Linked DNA regions of Canis lupus familiaris. The protein of the gene in region 3 interacts with the protein of the main gene of each other region in a pairwise test. Links are inferred from orthologs where the notes say so. Each region holds a gene or a part of one and is shown on either strand. Other genes may lie near its edges.

Region 1 (4,892 bases), on a different chromosome or scaffold from region 3:
TGGGTGCAGAGCTCTGAACTCTATCTGCCCAGGTACAAAGCTTGTACCCCTGCCCACTCAACATCTCCTCCAGACTGAAGGGTTTTTAGCCTCAGCACTGCTGACGTTTAGGACCGCATCACTCTCTGTGGTGGGGGCCATCCATGAATCGTGAGGTGTTGAGCAGCATCCCTGCTCTCTACCCACTAGATGCCAGTAGCACCCCCTCCCCCAGACGAAACAACCAAAATGTCTCCAGACATTGCCCAATGTCCCTGCAGGACAGAATCGCCCCCGATACGGAACACTGCTCTGTCTCATGAGATCCAGTGTAAGCTCACCTCCGCCCAGGGTCACGCCCAACTCCCAGTATAAAGGAAGGTAACAGAGAGGGAGGAAGGAAACAGAGAATGGTTACCAGGACTGAGAGAATGACTGCATATTTTACAAGTCTTTTCTAACTCCATCAATAGATGACATATAAGCAAATGTGCTCCACGCATTCAATGGAGTATTACTTGGCTATTAAAAGCAATGAAATGGGGATCCCTGGGTGGCTCAGCAGTTTAGTGCCTGTCTTCGGCCCAGGGCGTAATCCTGGAGACCCGGGATCGAGTCCCACATCAGGCTCCCTGCATGGAACCTGCTTCTCCCTCTGCCTGTGTCTCTGCTTCTCTCTCTCTCTTATGAATAAATAAATAAAATCTTAAAAAAAAAGGGCAATGAAATTCTTAGATACATGCTAATGTGGATGAAACTTGAAAATATTATGCTGAGTGAAAGAAGCCAGACACGAAAGGTCACATGTTGTACGATCCCATGTATACGAAACGTGCAAAATAGGTAAATCCATAGACACAGAAAGCAGACTGGTGGCTGCCATGGGCCAGGGGAGGGCAGAATGGGAGTGACTGCCCATGAGGATGGGATTTCTTTTGAGGGTGATTAAAGTGTTCTGGAATTAGACACTGGCGATGGTTGCACAACCCTGTAAATATACTAAAATCCACTGGCTTTTACACTTTCAACAGGTGAATTATATGTTACACAAACTATATCTCAATAAAGCTGTTATTTTAAAGAAATCTTTTTAAATACAATAATACATTTCCAACCTCAATGCAGAAACCAGACCTCCAGTCGTGATGACAGCCATCAACCTAATATGACCTCCTTCTTCCTGTTACACTACATACACCTTCTGCATGAGGCAAGATAAAGTGGACATTCCTGCCCTCAGAAGCCCTGACTTATAGGAACACTCAAGGTACATGCTCACTTGCTTGCTTTGCTTGCTTTCATTCATTCAATCACCAACCATCTCCTTCTCTACATGCTAAGCAAAAACATGAGCTGCTAGAGCAAGAACAGGCAGTACCTGGTCAATGGTGAGCACCCCAACAACATGTGGCAAACAAACACACAGAAATGAAGATACACATTCTAGCCTATATGGTCGTGATCTCACAGAGAAACAGGTGAGTAATTAGAAGAGTTTGACTTGAAAATTGCACCTGAAGAATTAGAGACTGAGGCTCTTGTCACAGAGGTATGTCTGCCTAGAACAGTCAGATCAGAGGCAGAGTCCAGAAACCAGCCATATGCATGTCTGCAGCTCCCATCCAAATCCTCCCTGAGGCCTTAAGATGCAGGACAGGGGGGAGGGTCCCACCACTCTATAGGAATGCAGCAGAGACTTACTGCCACCTGTGCAAAGCGTGCTCTCCTCCTTGACCCACAAGGACTTGCCAGACACACTCGACAAAACAGGATACTAAGGCCTGAGAAGCTTGGTACCTCAGTGCAGTCATGTGGCCAGAGAGCTGGGCCCAGAGAAGGGCCAGGCCTCCCACTCCTCTAGGGGCCAACAGTAGCTTCCCAGGCGAGGTGAGCAGGTAACCTGGCCTGCCTCTGCAGGCCAAACACACCCAGCAACTTAAGGAAGAATTGTCCCTCCACCCTGGTCCCTGAGAGACCAGGAGCCATCCGTGGCCAGCTGTCCCTTATCTCAGTGGGAGGAGCACACCTGGTCCCCACCATATGGGCTACCTGAGGAAGGGGTAGCAGTTTCCACTCCAAACTCCAGGATGGAGAACAATCTGCCTTCTTAACCACCCCCAGGTTCCCACAGGAGACGACACCAAAACTTTCCTTCAGATAATCCAAAAGTGAGAAATACCTATCCCACCTCAAGTCTGCAAATAGGGATACCTGTCCTTCCTCCAACACCCAGAGAGTGAAGGCACAGATGACAAAGATGTAGAAAGAACCTGTCCCTTCAGATAGCAATGATGTGGGGACAGCTGTTCCCCTCAGATCTCAGTGATGTGGGGGCACTTGTCCTGCACCAGGTACCAACGATATGGAAACACCTATCCCCCTCCCCAGGCAACAATGATGCTTACAAGCAGCGCCCAGTTCATACACCTCACAGTGCCATCCTGTCTCCCCTAGGTAGCAGTGATATGGAGGCATGTGACCCCTTCAGGTAGAAGGGATATAGAGACACCTGTCCCTCCTCAGGTACAGTGATGTGGTGGCTGGCACCTATTCCCTCCAGGTAGTAATGATGTAGAGGCCACCGTCCTCTCCGGATAATAATGATGTAGTGACACCTATCCCCACCTCCAGGTAGCAATGATGTGGGGGCACCTGAACCCTTTCAGGTACCGGTGATGTGGGGGCACCTTTCCCGCCCACGATGTCCGGGGCGTAGGGACACCTGTACCCTCCGGCTGTGCCAAGCCCCGCCCCGCCGCACGCGCCCCGCCCCCGCCGCGCGCCCCCCGCCCCGTGCACACGCCGGACACGCGCCCCCTCCCTCTCTTCCCGGCCCCGAAGGGTCGGCGCGGACAGCCCCCTTACCCGCGCGGCCCGCGTCAGGCTCAGGTCCTTCATGACCTCCTCGAAGGCCGCTGTCTCCTCTGCCTGCTTCTGGTTGTGCAGCGCGATCTTCTCGCTGAATTTCCGCGGATTGTTCGAAGTCGCCATCTTCTCGCCGCCGCCTCCTCCTCCTCCTCCTCCTCCACCTCCTCACCCCCCCCCACTCGCCAGTGCCACCGCGCAAGCGCCGGCCGGGCCCGCGGGCGGCGGGCAGTGCGCAGGCGCGTTGGTGGTCGTGAGTGCGGCGCAGGCGTACGGGAGCGGCGCGCGGCGCGGGGGCGACTGCGCATGCGCACGTCTCAGGGGCGCGTTTGGGTCCAGCAGAGGAGGCGGGAGGCGAGGGGCGGGAGGTGGGAGCGAGAGTAGGTTTTGGGCACATGCGTAGTGAGTAGACTCCTGGCCCGCTGGACAGCGGCCGCCTGGCTGTTGGACAAGCATGGTTCGCGGACCGGCTGGGGCGCCGGAGCCCCCAAGGAGACTGCCGGACCCAAAACCTTCCAGTTTACAAGGATGGGGCCAGCAACCCACAAGGACAGGTAGCACCCCGATGCTGAGCCGGGACTAGGACTGTTTGAGACCAACCAGTCCAGGGAGTTGCTCATTCATGCATTCATTCATTCAACGAATATTTATTGAGCGCCAGTATGTGCCAGAAACACTGGGGAAAAGGCGTGAGCAAGCAGATGTGGTCCCTGACCTGATGGGGTGCGCAGTTAGGGAGGGGGGACAAACATAAGCAACCAACAGATGACCCAAGAACATTTCTGATGGAGATAATTGTGATGTGGAAAATAAAACTAGTAATGGACTGGCAGGATATTGATGATAGGAAGGGAGGCTCCCAGCCACCACTGTCAGGGAAGTAGGGAGGCATTTGAACTGAGACCTGAACCTTGCCAGCAGCCTCCACAGCCCAAAATCCCAGGCATCGAGCCGCCTGGGTGGTTGTGGTTGAGCATCTTCCTTGGGCTCAGGGCGTGATCCCAGGCTCCTGGGATCGAGTCTCACATCGGAATCCTCGCAGGGAGCCTGCTTCTCTCTCTGCCTATGTCTCTGTCTCCTCTCTGTCTCTCATGAATAAATGGATAAAATCTTAAAAAAAAAAATAGGGATCATCTTTAACATCTTGCTTTCCCTATCACCTTACATTCGACCAGTTTCTACTCTCTGGACTCTTAATCCTGAAGGAACATAGGTTTGCCATGGGGAGCCCAGAAGTCCCACCTAGACTACATCCCACAGTGAGAAGGATAGCAGGGTCTTCCCAGTGGCAGGAGGGTGAACCAGGGAAACAAGAAACGTTCTGACATCTAACTCTCCCTTCCCAAGCAGAGGGACCATGACCACCAATATCAAATATTGGTTTATATTCAGGAGGCTTCAGGGGTTTCTAGGCATGGACAGGGTGGGAGCCAAGAGCAGCAGCCAGGGGAATGTGCGATAGCTCTAATTGCACAAAAACCACACTTAAAAGAAAGAAGCAAAGAGAAAAGAAAAATTGATTTTTATTTTTTAAATATTTTATTTATTTATTTATTCATGAGAGACAGAGAGAGAGAGAGGCAGAGACACAGACACAGGCTCCCATGCGGGGAACCTGACGTGGGACTTGATACCGGGACCCCAGGATCACGCTCTGGGCTGAAGGCGGCGCTAAACTGCTGAGCCATCCAGGGATCCCGAAAAATTTATTTTTAAATTTTTAAAAAAGATTTTATTTATTCATGAGAGACACAGAGAGAAGCAGAGACATAGGCAGAGGAAGCAGGCTCCCTCTGGGGAGCCTGACTCCGGACTTGATCCCAGGACCCTGGGATTTACCCTGAGCCAAAGGCAGATGCTCAACCACTGGAGCCACCCAGGTGTCCTGAAAGATTGGTTTTTAAAAAGAGCAGTTTTTACTAGGGTGAGGGGATGGCTAGAGGGGTTGCTTGTGGTGATCATAGGGAGACACCAGTATTTTATGAACGTGCTTTTTGTTTACACTTTACAACAGTTTAGTGAAATATCCTTATATTAAATATATATAG
Region 2 (4,565 bases), on a different chromosome or scaffold from region 3:
AGGTCTAGCTTAATAGAAAGCAGCTGGATTCTCATAGTGTTTATGCATTCAGTCTGTTGCTGTAGACTATCTGGCCTCACAGCAGGAAAAAGGAAAAGTATTCAAAAACCTTTTCAGACAGCTGTGTATATTGACACAATACTAAAACTCGACAAATGGTAGTTTCTTTTTTTTTTTTTAAGGTTTTTTTATTTATTCATGGGAGACACAGAGAGAGGTAGAGACATAGAGGGAGAAGCAAGCTCCTCACAGGGATCTCGATGTGGGACTCGATCCTTAAACTGGGATCATGCCCTGAGCCAAAGGCAGATGCTCAACCACTGAGCCACCCAGGCGTCCCCAAATGGTAGTTTCTTAAAGAAGAGTTGCATCTTGGAATCTGAATCCCTATCAATGAACTTTTCATATTTTATTACATTAAAATCCACTAGTGTACCTTGCATTCTGAAAGGATATTTACTTATGATGATTGTGAAATATCAGCATTGGTTGCTTGGAAAATATAGATTTACTGCGATGCCCATCCTCCAAATGTTGACATATTTCACTACAAATATAAATATAGAAAATATTTAAACTGTTAAACCTGAGATGTCAACTTTTGACAAATTCTAATTTTCACTCTCAAATTTTTATCATTGGTAACAAATACTGTCAATTGTTTCCTCAAAATAACATGCTCGCCTCGTTGTCAAGAAAATATAAGCGCAACCTTAAAGTGTGAAAAACTGTAGTTTGTCAGTTCTTTCAAGTGAAAATGCTGTTCCATGAAACAAGCAGCTCATAACTCAATCTCACAAGCGCTTTTCCTTATGAGAAGGACCGTACCTCCTTAGTCAGCAAAGTACTTTATGCATCCTTCCTATTCGATCAAAGATTCTTAAAACTTAAAAAAACCATGTACCCAAGGGTTGAGATTTAACAAAAATCATTTCTACTGTTTCATCAAGGCCATTTTCACACGGTGTTTCGTGTAACTGCCTTGCTTTGTGCTAACGGACCACCAGTTTTACTCAGCTTTGCTTTTTGGACCATCAGTGCAAATGTCACTGGAAGAAAGATAAATAGTGTCTTAGTATTTTCTACTTTGAAAATAGTTATGACCTCTCAGGTCCCCTGGAAGGCTCTGAATGATCCCCAGAGGTCAGTGGGTCACCTTTTCCAAGATTATATCACTGGTTCAAGGTTGGGGTGGAAACGAACAAAATCCTGTTCATCCCAAGAGTCTTCATCTTCTTAGTTCCTTTAGTTTGAGATACATCACCAACGTGACCGGTGTGTCATAACCGTAGTATAAGGGGAAGGAAATCAAGGACGTAATTTGCCATGAAATTGTTTTAAGATTGTATTTTGAGCACTTTTACGCTAAATCAACAGTTCTTTATGTGGCGGTTAAAATTTAGAGAAGATAGCACCACACACACCCTCCCCTTCCCACCTGAAAAGACTTGAGGACGAAGCCCCTAACACAGCACTTTCAGCAACCTCCAAGGTACTTTTTAGCTATCCCGAACTTAAAGATCTAGAGAACGAGTTCGAATTCAGAGTCCAACTCCCGGTCCCAAGAACAACACATCATGGTCTGGAAATTCAATGTTGTTCACCAAGGAGCAGCCCTCTCTGCCCCGCTCTTTCCCCTCCAACTAGATGGGGAAACTCCTTTGAAAGTAAAACTCCATTTCTGCAGGGTTTTGAACTGCAGTGGGAGGTGTCTAGAATGTAGAAGGCTGAGCTACAACCCGCAACAAGGTGGTGGTTCTGAGATGGTAAAATTGTCTTCCCGTGTGCATCTCAGAGAGGAGATGGGGCCAACTGACTTCCAAGCCTCTTCCCATCTCTTTTTCTGGGCTAAAGAAGGCCCAAGACAAGTGAGCTGAGCTATGTCCACAGTTAGGAACAGCGTGGAGGAATCCCGCGTCTGGCGGGAGAGGAAAACAGGGTCAGTGGCAGAAAGGAGGGGAGGCAGGTGGATCAACGACATCAGTCCTCCCCAGGAGGTGCTGAGAATCTAGACAAAATAGTCCCCGGGAGGAACATGGCGCCCACCGCGGCAGGATATAATCAGCCGAAAGAAAGGTTTTCCGCCCCATTCCATTTTACAAATCACGGCGCCAACGCAGAGAAATTTTAGGGCCAAGGGAGGAGACTTGGTAAACTAACTGCAGCGCACTACGGCTTGGGAGGTACTAGTGGACCGAGCGGCGATTACGTAACACAAGGGAGCGGCACAGCGACCCCTCATTTTCCTCCTCGCGCCCGAACAGCGCCCCAGTCCTAGGGAGGCGGGAGGGCGCGGCGGGAGAAGCGAGCGCTCCCCCCGGGACGTCACCTCGGCGCGGCCTCGCCCCCCGCCCGCCGACTCGCAGCCGCCCGCCCCCTCCCCCTCCCCCTCCCCCTCCCCGCGGGCCACCGCCCGCCGCCCGCCCACTCCTCCGAGACGCCTCGCGCCCGGCGTGCGTGTGGACGTCGGTGTGTGCGGGGCCGTGGGGCGCGAGTGCGCGCGCGCGCGCCGCGGAGGACGCCGGGGGGCGGGGGCGGGCGGCAGGCAGGCAGGCAGGCAGGCAGGGTCCGCCCGGCCCAGACCGTCGCGCGGCTCCCGAGCTCCCGCGGCTCCGGGGGCGCACGCGCTCGCGAGCCGCGCCCCATGCCCGCCGCCGCCGCCCGGGCCGCGCTGCACTCGCGGGGAGCAGGGGCGCGCGCCACCGGGCCCCTGCCCCCACCCCCCGCGCCCCCGCCCCATCCCCCTCTCATTGTCTCGCCTCCGAGCGCCTCGCCGAGCGAAAAGATAACGGAACCCCCGGGAGAAGGGGGTGGGGAGAAAGAAGGCTCGCCCGCTCGCTTACTCACCTCCCGTGGTCGTCGCCGCCGGTAGTCTGACCCGAGGAAGGCGCCGTCGCCTTAAAGGGACCTCGCACCCGGCGCCGGGAGAAGGGGGTGGGAGCAGGGGAGGGGACGGGGGCTTGGGGAGACGGCTGAGAGGGAACCGTGGAGAGCGCGTCTCCCCGCGGGGGAAAGGAAACCTCCCTCGGGTTCCAGTGACTTGGGGTGGATTTTTTTCCCGAGGGGGGCGGGGGGGCCCCGAGGGAGGGGGTGGGGGGGCCAAGGAATGCGGCTCCGTGTACGGGAGCTGGCGCGGGGGAGAGAGACGCCGACTCCCCCCACCGACCCTCTCGCTCCGCGGAGGGATACGTCTCGTCACTTCCGCCCTCCCCCTCTCGTGGCCTCGCAATTGGCTGCGGCGTGGGACACGTCATGGGCTCATCCTAACCCCTGCCCGGGCTTCTTTTCCAGTCAAGTTTGTCTGGACCTGCAAATAAATAAATAAATAAATAAATAAATAAATAAAAAACATTTAAGAAAAATGAAATAAGAATAATTAGCTTCAGAAGCAACAGCTAAATCTTGATGAGGAAAATGGAATTTCCAAGGAAAATAGTGCCCAATTCACTTGCCTGGACTTTCCAAAGAAATTTTGGGCACCTCCTCACTTTCCACTCAAGTCTTGTACCTAACCAAGAGGAGAACCTCATGCCACAGGCCAGGTGGTGAGACCCAATGGCACCAACAACTGTCCTTGGAACAAAGGCAGCAGAATGGCACATACTCTTCATCAGGAGGCATTTGGCCAAGTAGCCTTGTGGCAGTAGTCTTAAGTGAAGAACTTTTAAAAGCTATTTTTACTCTGAACCCTACTGGATTCTGGAAATAAATCACATATATTGCTTATCAAAGTGACTCATGTATGGAAACTGCTTTGAAGCCGTTTGTCAATAGACTCGGCACAAATCCTCAATTCTAAGAAACCATAGATTCTACATCTGTGCTTTTTGCTCCGATCAAGGCTGAGGGGGATTGGCTCAAAGAAAGGAGTCTATTCAAGACCAGCCACCTGTAATTTTTCCCCGAACAAGAAGTACCTCTTTTCCAGGTATCTAAGAAATTTAGTCCTTTTTTTACTTTCAGAGATGATAATATTGTAAAATTTTCCTTGGATATGTGAGTATGTTGTTGCTCTCTAAGCAATACACAAATATTTACTCCAAGCCAATGTAGATCAAAGTACTTTGTGCAAGATTGGGGAGAATCAGAACCATATTTATTCATTTTTTTATATATGTGCACTTTATTCAACCACCAGACTGAAAATAGGCGATGGAATTAGGCATTACAAATTGCTCCCTCATGCACCTGTGTGTACACAATGCCGTCCATTTTCATTCCACTTCATCTCATTTCATACTAAGTACATGTGAATGATCTCAAAGTGTCATTTTTAGCAAGAACTTTATTATTTGGATTGAAAAAAAAATCACCAATCCTTCCAAAAATACTTCTGAAGCCTTTCCAGACCTGATCTAGAAAAGCCTAAGATGGGATTATGGAATCAATCACCAGAAGACAAATTCTACAAGAAGCTCAAATCCTATTTTATACTTTCCTACTATAATTATAATTCATTATAAAGTTATTTGCCTCTGAAATATTCTTGTTGAAATGTATTTTCCCATGCTGAAAGTGCCAACTTATGCTCTCTGCCAATGAGGTCTAGTCCAGCAGACTGTACC
Region 3 (4,122 bases):
GAGAGAACATGTGCAATGTAATCCCTGAATATATCATTATTTCAAAGTTATGTACTCTAACTTATACCCCAAGACATAGGTGGTTTTACACAATGCTTTCTATGATCTCCAAATTTAAGTAATATCTTAGGTAAGGTTATTAATTTTGACAAAGGTTTATTTTTTCCAATTGCATGTTTAGAAAAATAATTACAAAGTTATTATTTTTATATCTCAATTTTCCTGAACTAAGGTATATTAGCCTTAGTCTTTCTCAAACGTTTCCACTTTATCCCATGGACTTAATGATTTTCCCCAATCAACTCTTTTTCTTCTGTAGCTTAAGAAAAAGTCTTTTTCTTATATCTGTTCTTGTGTACATATGTACCTATACATAAGGTGACTATACAGACGCAGCATAATCCTTTACTGTAAAGCAAAATAAACTCTGAACTAGGTATGTTCCTATTTCCATAACTAATGAAAGGAGAGAGATATGGCTATAAACGACAGTTATGAAAGTAGATGCAGAACTTTTTATACACATACCTGAACTGTCTGGACTTGTGGAGACTGAATAACTGATGGCTGGGCCGCCTGAATAACGCCATGGACTTGAACTGTCTGCCCATTGGGCAGCTGTACTAAAGTTACGGTGGGAGCAGATGATGTTGCATGAGCTGCTGGCATAGATACCTATGGTGTTGAACATGGAAAAAAATTACCATCACAGATACCTCCTTAAGAGTAGTCATGTTCAATATGAAGCAACGTTTTTAGCAGGAAAAAGATGACTTTTCTGCTAGACAAGTATTTCATTGGTGTGAAAGAAACTAATGATTAAATTTAATATTCTCAAAAAAAGAAGAAAAAAAAAAGACTATAAATGCCCCTCCCTTTCAAATCCTTTTATGTGACAAAAACTATTTTAATGTAATATCAAAATGTATAACACAGACTTCCTCTGATTACTAAGTACACTTTAATTGTATGGTGCTTTATATTTTCCTACCTGCTTTCATATCCGGTTTCTCATTTTGCTCTTCGAAGAAATCAAGACTGTATTATAATAAGGATTATCTCCATTTTAGAGACAGAGTATCAAGTGCTCAAGAGATTAAATAACTTACCCAAGGTCAAGAGATATGCTAGCTTGAAGAAATATAAATGTCTTCAGGATATTATTATGTGTTAAGTTACTCATATTCTAAAATATAAATGTTCTCCAACTTAGCCAAAACTTAACTGTTTAGAACAAATACACGTCTTGAAATATACAGCATAGTTTTCTCTTTTAAACTAATTACAAGTATGCCTTTATTAGTGAGAAAGTGTTAATATGTATTATAAACTGACAATTTCTACCCGCCCCCCCAATCAAACTTATATAACAGTTGTATTTTAAGGATTTGTTTTCTCCTGGAAGGAATAAAAGAGCAGACTTCAGGGAATATAAGAAATATTACTTTCTCCTGAGGCACAAAGAAGGCAATTTTAGTGAGTCTATATCCAGGTCCAAATGGCTGTTATGTCATATGTCTATCCGATGGTATTTATTGTTCCTGCTTGAACACACTCAGGGGTTCAACATTTTTTGCTCATTCGGTAAACAGTGATTGGGGACCCACATGCTAGGAGCAATGTCAGAACTGAAACTATAAACATGAAGGAAATTATTGGGGTACATGTGTGAAGGAAGGGAGAAAAAGAACACAAATAAATATAATCCAGTGAAGTAATGAGACTTGCCAGGAGAAAAATGAACACACTGAGGAAAGCTACCCAACCTCACCTAAGAGGAAGGGAGGGCAAAATAAGAATTTGAAACAAAGAATACAGATTAGGCTGTATTTTGACTCCTAGGGGAGAGCCACAAAATTTCAGGGAAGGAGGGATGAGTAACAGTCAGTACTACTGGACCACATAAGGGTATTACTATATGAATTATACACTGGGGCAAGATAATACTGTAACAAGTAGGGCAGGATTGAATGAGCTAGTCATGAAAAACCGTATCTATGTCACATTAAAGAAGTTGCACTTTATCCTGAGGAGACTGAGAAAGGCAGTGAAGGGCTTTTGAACTCTGGAATATCATGGTGAGATTTGCATTTCAAATAGATCACTTCAGTGGCAGTATGAAAAACATTTATTTAAGAGAAAGAAAAATGTGGAGAAGAGGAGACTTAGGAGAAAACTTACATAGTAGTTAAGGTGAAATGATGAAGCCAGAAATAAAGCACTAGTTGTGATGGGGGGAAAATGAGAGAAGTGATTTAATGAAAATTCAGGAGGCAGACTAGAAAGGATATTATGAATGACTGCTTGAAGGAGGTCAGAGAGGAATCCAGGATGACCCATATATTTCATGTTTGTGTAAGAATTGGTAAACTATGCCATCAACCAAAACCAAGAACACAAGAAGTAAGGAGAAGCTTTTGCGTGGCTGGGGTGAAGGTGGATGGTGGAACTGATCTGATATCTGAATCTGTTCAGCAGGTAGTTAAACATCTGACTGTGAAGCTTGGGGGCGGAGGGTTGGGGGGAAGATCCTTATTGAAAGCTGATGTTAAAACTAGAAGCATCCATCTTTGGGTAGTTACGAAGTCCCTCCTTATTAATCATTTTCTCTCTGGCCACTATAAATCTTGCTTAGTTTTATCTGGTTCTCAAAATGTAGTTCATGGACTACCTCCATTACCTGTTTATAAAGTCGGACTCTCCTGGCAAAGCTAAGGACACCTTCCCCTACACTAAAGTCTGAGAATGACAACATTAAGTTACTCAGAGTATCTACTCTTACTTCCATACAAAAGCTCTTCTGATAGTTCAAGCATTTATTATATCCTCTTCTCTATTTTATAGAACAAATGTGAGAAGCTAACTCAGTTAATCCCTTTTCTACCCTGATCATTCTACATAACAGCTCCTAACACTGTAATTTTATAAACGGTACAGATATACAAGGTAAGATAAAAATTCCTTATATTCCTACCACTAATCACTGTTAATATTTTTGCTGTAGATGTAGGTGTTTTGCAAGGTGCATATATGCACTCAATTTTTATACACTATCATGGAATCTAATTTATCTTTTGAATCCATTATAAACCTCTCTCCATACCACTAACAATTTTCTTCAGTGGTTTTAATGGCTGCATAATAAAAATTACATACTTTTGTTTAATAAATTCCATTTTTTGGATATTTAGGTTTTCATATTTGCCTATTAGAAAAAGTTGGAATGATCACCCTTTTACCTCTATAGTTAAATCCATAAAAATTTACAGTCTCTTATTCAAAACCATTATTTTTTTTCCTTCCCACTTAAAAAAAAAAAAATTCCGTAGGGGCATCTTGTGGCTCAGTCAGTTAAGCATATGACCCTTGAACTCAGCTCAGGTCTTGATCTCCAGGTTGTGAGTTCAAGCCCCGCACTTAAAACAAACAAAACAAAACAAAACAAAAAAAACTTCTGTAAATTCCAAATGCAAAATGAGGCATTTTGCATTATTGTTTTAGATTGGTTATCTTCCTTTACTAGTTGGGCTGAATTTTTTTCTGTTCATTGTTCAAATCACTACAATCTTAAGATTTGACAATTTTATTATTTTTTTTAGTATTAAATACTGACAACCAAAAAATACCAGCTATCAAAATTATGATAGGAAATTATGACAAAAATGTAAAATGTGTACGGTAAGGACTTGGATGAGCAAGTGAAAAAATTCTGTAATTAGGAATAAAAAGAACAAAAACTATATAAATGGGAATAGAAAACTAGCTTTTCTATAACTCAAACAACATGTCATTGTTCTTGGACTGCCTAATAAAGATGACAGATTAAACATGTGTATATTATTTTGCTCCTTTCTGAATCTCCAATTAAATTTCATAAAATTGATTTTGTTTTTACAGGTCCAATCACATGAGCAAAGAGTGGGAAAAGAGATGAGAGTAATAGTTTTGGATGCTGGGAAGACGGATGAATGGTAATGGACTTTGAAGATCTCAAAAGGCCAACTCATGATGTAGAGGCAAGGAAAGCCTGATTTGCACCATAAAATCCTTAAGAGGCTCAGTATCTAAGACACCTTGGAAGGTGGAGTAAAGAGAGAGGCTGAGAAAATAAGGCTAGTTAAA
Region 4 (4,873 bases), on a different chromosome or scaffold from region 3:
CTCAGGACACTCAACCACCTGCGCCACCCATGCGCCCTTGTCGTTTGTTTCTAAGAGCACTAATTGAGGGGCCATGATTCACTGGGGTTTTTTCAATAGTAAAACAACTACTTGGAGGAGGGAGCAGGAACCAAGATACATCACACATCTTGATACCCCTGATATTTGTTCTTCAAAGAGAATATTGCCATCCCTTTGGACAGTAAACAGAGATAGAGCCATAACCAAACAGCAGCCAGGGCCTCTACCCCCCTACTTGAACATTTAGAATGCACACAGATACAAAATAGTGAGCATTTCCTTAGCCAGAATAATGAAGCTTCCCAAAAGTGGGCATTCATCCCAGCACCCTCTCTCCCATGAGCAGCATATGTGCTACATTGTGAATTACCAAGTGGACTTCACAGGTGCCAATATGGCTGGTTCCAGACTGGTTAGAAATCCACCTCTTACCCTCAGTAGTGTTTCTTGCTAAGGTTCCCCTGAGGAAAGAATGTCTTTGACCCCAGCTAGTAAAACTAAATCAGAAATAGATTTATAGATTTTTAGCCCCAGACCCTCCCGCTTTGCTCCTCTCTCAACCCCCTTTCAACCAACCACTTTTAGGTGTTGATTTCCAAGGATTGGTGCCGATTAGGGGTGCTGGGGGGTTGGCACATGGCTTCAAGCAGCCTGATCTCATGGGTGGGTTGCTCAGGCTGGAACTTGAGCACCCAAGGATCCTTGATGATGTCCAGGATGGTGGCACGCTTGGTGGCTTGGCATAGTGTCTGAAGGACCAGATTCTAGGGCAGAGGAGAGAGAGGTCTTGGCTGAGCTTGCCCCCCATTGTGCCACACAGGCAACTAGCTGTTGGACCTGAGAGAGAAGCAAGATAGCCCATCACACCACTCTGGTGAAAGGGGGTATGGCCCTGATTTTATCTTGAAGAGCCTGGCATTTATCTCCTTGGAGGAGAAGGGAAGGAAGGGTTCCCTGGGGGAAAACCCTTACATAATCCCCTCCTGGCCTAAAGAGACAAGAGGCTGAAACCTGCTTATCCCTCACACGCCCAGGGGTAGCCCTTTAACTCCCTCCCCAGCAACTACTCTAGGGTAGGGGCTCAAGTGTGAGATTGCTCTGGTGGGGAAGAGCTTCCCCCAGGGTGGGGACGCCTAGGATGGGTATTCCCTCCCTGTAGGTTATCCCCAAGGCCTCAGCCCGCCTGGGGGAGCCAGCACCTTGCACTCCTGAGAGATGGAGTAGTTAGATGGAAAAGTGACCTCCTTTTGAGTCTCTTTCAGCAGCTTCTTGAGATTGGTGTCATCAAAGGGCAGCCGGGCGACCACTAGAGTGTAGAGGATGACGCCCATGCTCCAGGTGTCAGACAGGAAAGGGTTGTAGGGCAAGCCCAGCAAGATCTCCGGGCATGCGTAAGCAAAGCTGCCACAGTAGGTCTGGCTGAGGTGCGTAAAGCAGTTCATTTGGCGGTAAGAAGGGCTACTATGCATTCTCTGGTTAGAAGGCACCATCTTGGCGAAGCCAAAGTCTGAGATCTTCACGTTCTCCCGCTTGTCCAGCAACAGGTTCTCCAACTTTAAGTCCCTACCAGCAGCAGAAAGGCTGGGGGTCAGGCTGGGAAGAGGGCTCAGTATTAGACCGGGAGCTGAAGGGCCAGGGGTCAGAGGCTAGAGGTGGAAAGGCAGAGTGGGAGAGAGGCACGGTCATGAGGACACAAGGTAGAGAGGGAGGAGCCGCGGAGTTGTGAGCAGAGCCGCGAGGTGAGAGAGGAGGGTACCTGAGGACCACTGGGGCTCATCATTGTACTTCATAGAGTGCCGTGCTCACAGAGGGCGCTACATAAACATTCTTGAGCAAAGCATTACAATAGAGGGGATGAATAGGCCTAGATAACCGAGGAAGGTTGAGGGAGGGGAAAAAAAAGGGAAGAAAATGGGAGACCCCAGCCTGGGTGGCCGTGCCCTCACCGGTGCACGATGCCCTTGCTGTGCAGGTAGGCGATGCCCAGGGTCATCTGGGAGAACCACTTGCCAGCAAGGGGCTCAGAGCAAGCCCCGTACCGCTGGATCCACTCGAGGACATCACCACCCTGAGCCAGCTCCAGAATGATGTATACTCGGGATGTGGTTTCAATGGCCTGATAGAAGTTGATGAGGTACTTGTGCCGCAGGACCTTCATTACCTGGCCCCAGAAGAGGGATCCATCAAACCTAGGAAGGGAGAACCCTGGCTGTGCTCCCAGCCCTCCTGCCATCCCACTGCTAACCTACTTAGAACCATGCAAAAGGATTAAATTCCAGAGAGCTGGTGGGCTGTGGGTGAACCCTATGCTTTGGACTTTTACTTTGTGAGGGCCTGTGGGTGAATGGAAAGAGGTTGAATTTACATGGAGTCCTTTTCCTGCTGCTCAGTAAGACATTCAGCCCTGATTGTGGGGGAGGGAACAGGTGTGCTGGCTCCTCCCCTTCCTGACCCTACCCTCTTCTGAGAAGTCTTTAGCAACTCAGTATGAGTTCCCTCTTCCAGCCCCCTTTCCAACCTGTATCTCACGGGGCAGGAACTTGTTAAGATAGTCCTCAGAGGCCTTCTTCTTTGAGATGATCTTGACAGCCACCATGACCTTTTGCTTTGTGTAGTAAGCTTCGTACACCGTCCCATAGGAGCCATTGCCAATGACCTTGCCCATCTCGTAACCGTACTCCTCCATTACAGAGCGGTAGGCAGAGGGGGTTGGTGCTATCTCCAAGGTGTCTCCCTTCCCCATGGTGTCAGGCTTGCTGAGAGCAGGGAACTTTGCTACTTAAAAGCCTATTTATCTGCTCAGAAAGCCAACCTTGAGCTACTGAGGGCTAGGATACCAAAGTAAAGTTAGTCTCCAAATGCTTGCCTATATAGTCACGCGAGTCTGGGGTGCTGAGCTCAACTCTCCACTAGGAACGTGGAGGGGGATGAAGGGAGCAGCAGTTCTTTTTTGTTCCCACTAGCTGTTGTTACTTCTTTCTCCCCCTGGTTACGGAACTCCCAAGGTCCTGTGTTCCATATACCTCACAATTCACCTTCTTTGTGCCCCTGGCCATGAGGCTTGAGAATGAAGTGCACTGTGGAATATATTCCTGGAGGCAACCTCTGCAACCTGGTGAGATGCCCGCCCCCCTGCCCCGGCCAAGATCTAGTCCCTTCAACCATCCACGTTTATGGAACACCCACTGTGTGCCAGGCAGTGTGCGAGTACTGGGCCAAAATAGCCCATAACGCCAACAGAGACCCTCTGCTCCTAGAGTGTATTCTCCAGCATGAGAAACACGTGTGAGGATATTACAGAGACTTACAAGGTGTTGGAGAAGCCTATTCTAAGGAATCTTAACCTTAAGTGATTTTTTTTTGTTTTTTGTTTTTTTTTTGGCTTAAAGCAACCGCCTTTTTTCTTTTTTTCTTTTGCAAGTTGAGGTGGGCTCAGTGGCTGGTTCTTCTGGTGGCCTCATCTTAATTGGGATGGCTTGTTTCTGCTGTATATGGTCTCACTATCCAGGGGACTAGCCAGAGTTCTTTGACATAATAGCACTGAATTTTAAGAGGAAAAAAAAAGAGAAATTGCATGGTCACGTGAAGCCTAGACTCCAAAGTTGCAAAACCTCACTTCTACACCTTTATACAAGTAAAGACAGTTACAGGGTTACAAGGATCTCTCAGATCGAAGGGGTGTAATAGACTCCACCTGTGAACCCTGAAATGCATTCTTGTCTTGCTTTCCATGACCCTAAGTTCTATAGTTTTACTCCTATCCTTCTAGCCATTCCTCAGACTTCCCTGGAGCCTTATCTTCTTTATCTATCCCTCCATCATATCCTGAAGGTTCTACCACAGGCCTTATTTCCTCAAAGCTTTATGTCCTCCCATTAGGATCTCACCCATTCCCAACATTACATCAATGCTGACTGCTCCTAATCTCATCTCTATCCCAGATGTCCCCTGGAGTTCCAGCACCAGTTGCTCACTGGACAGCACATGGACATGTCTTCCCCAAGTATCTTAAACTCACCCTGTCCAAAACTGAACTCTTTAGGTTCTTGCTCTAGACTTTCTCTGTTAAGTTCTATACTCATTGCTTCAATTTACACACCCAGGTGTCATCCTAGACCCTTCTGTCTGCCTTAGCCCCTACATCCAATCTGTCACCTCTTCTCCCTCCTAATTATCTTTCATAATACATTCTGGGATCTCGGAGCAGCTGCCACTGTCTTAGGTCAAACCTCCATCAACCGATCACTCTAGCAAGCTTTCTGCTCCCCTCAGGTCTTCACCCTGAACTCCAAGGCATAACACTGGTTTTATTCCCACCTAAAACAATTCATTGCCTCCCCTTTCTCCTCAGGATCAAGTCCAAATTCTTTTTTTTTTTTTAAACCAGAACATTTATTTTGACTAATCGTTGAAATCCTTAAGATGAACTGGATGCTGCAACAGCTGCCCTCTTGGGCTTAGGTGTCGTTCCTTCACAGAATCCATGCCTGAATCTGCGGTATACAATTTTTAGGTGCTTCATTCTACCAGTCCCAGTGGTATTTCGTTTTTTAGCCTTGGCACTCCCAGTTATACTTTCTCTTCCGCTTGGCAGGGTAGCCACACTTGCCACAGGTGGACTTCTAAAGGTGGCAGGCCTTAGAGCCATAGTGGCGGCACGACGTGTGCGTCTTATTGCGACGCTTTCCAAACGATGATGTCCCCTTCGTCATCTTGTTTCCACGGCCGACCCCAAAGAAAAGCCCAAATTCTTTTATATGGCTTCAACATCTCTCCAGTTTTATCTCTTAACATACATGTAATGCTCCAGCCAAACAGAATCACTTGTCCTTCACTGCTGTTCCCTCTGTCT

Evidence for each region. The genes of interacting proteins can lie anywhere in the genome.
Region 1: the proteins of CREB1 (region 3) and CRTC1 interact in binary tests that used the Homo sapiens proteins (3 or more experiments, as listed by UniProt). The link is inferred for Canis lupus familiaris from reciprocal best matches to the Homo sapiens genes CREB1 and CRTC1.
Region 2: the proteins of CREB1 (region 3) and POGZ interact in a two-hybrid assay, tested with the Homo sapiens proteins (2 studies listed by BioGRID and IntAct). The link is inferred for Canis lupus familiaris from reciprocal best matches to the Homo sapiens genes CREB1 and POGZ.
Region 4: the proteins of CREB1 (region 3) and TSSK4 interact in binary tests that used the Homo sapiens proteins (3 or more experiments, as listed by UniProt). The link is inferred for Canis lupus familiaris from reciprocal best matches to the Homo sapiens genes CREB1 and TSSK4.

The regions. Positions count from the first base shown.
Region 1 is NC_049241.1:44,800,422-44,805,313, forward strand, and holds the start of CRTC1 (CREB-regulated transcription coactivator 1), read right to left. Parts: upstream 3,029-4,892; 5' UTR 2,971-3,028; coding exon 2,845-2,970; intron 1-2,844. UniProt on the Homo sapiens protein: Transcriptional coactivator for CREB1 which activates transcription through both consensus and variant cAMP response element (CRE) sites.
Region 2 is NC_049238.1:61,167,628-61,172,192, forward strand, and holds the start of POGZ (pogo transposable element with ZNF domain), read right to left. Parts: upstream 3,029-4,565; 5' UTR 2,848-3,028; intron 548-2,847; 5' UTR 437-547; intron 1-436. UniProt on the Homo sapiens protein: Plays a role in mitotic cell cycle progression and is involved in kinetochore assembly and mitotic sister chromatid cohesion.
Region 3 is NC_049258.1:15,805,389-15,809,510, reverse strand, and holds part of CREB1 (cyclic AMP-responsive element-binding protein 1), read right to left. Parts: exon of another isoform or gene 3,972-4,122; coding exon of another isoform or gene 3,898-3,971; intron 2,947-3,897; exon of another isoform or gene 2,845-2,946; intron 676-2,844; coding exon 529-675; intron 1-528.
Region 4 is NC_049229.1:4,315,616-4,320,488, reverse strand, and holds TSSK4 (testis-specific serine/threonine-protein kinase 4), read right to left. Parts: upstream 3,029-4,873; 5' UTR 2,765-3,028; coding exon 2,540-2,764; intron 2,211-2,539; coding exon of another isoform or gene 2,183-2,210; coding exon 1,968-2,182; intron 1,615-1,967; coding exon 1,221-1,614; intron 859-1,220; coding exon of another isoform or gene 786-858; coding exon 603-785; 3' UTR 148-602; downstream 1-147. UniProt on the Homo sapiens protein: Serine/threonine kinase which is involved in male germ cell development and in mature sperm function. May be involved in the Cre/Creb signaling pathway. Phosphorylates CREB1 on 'Ser-133' in vitro and can stimulate Cre/Creb pathway in cells.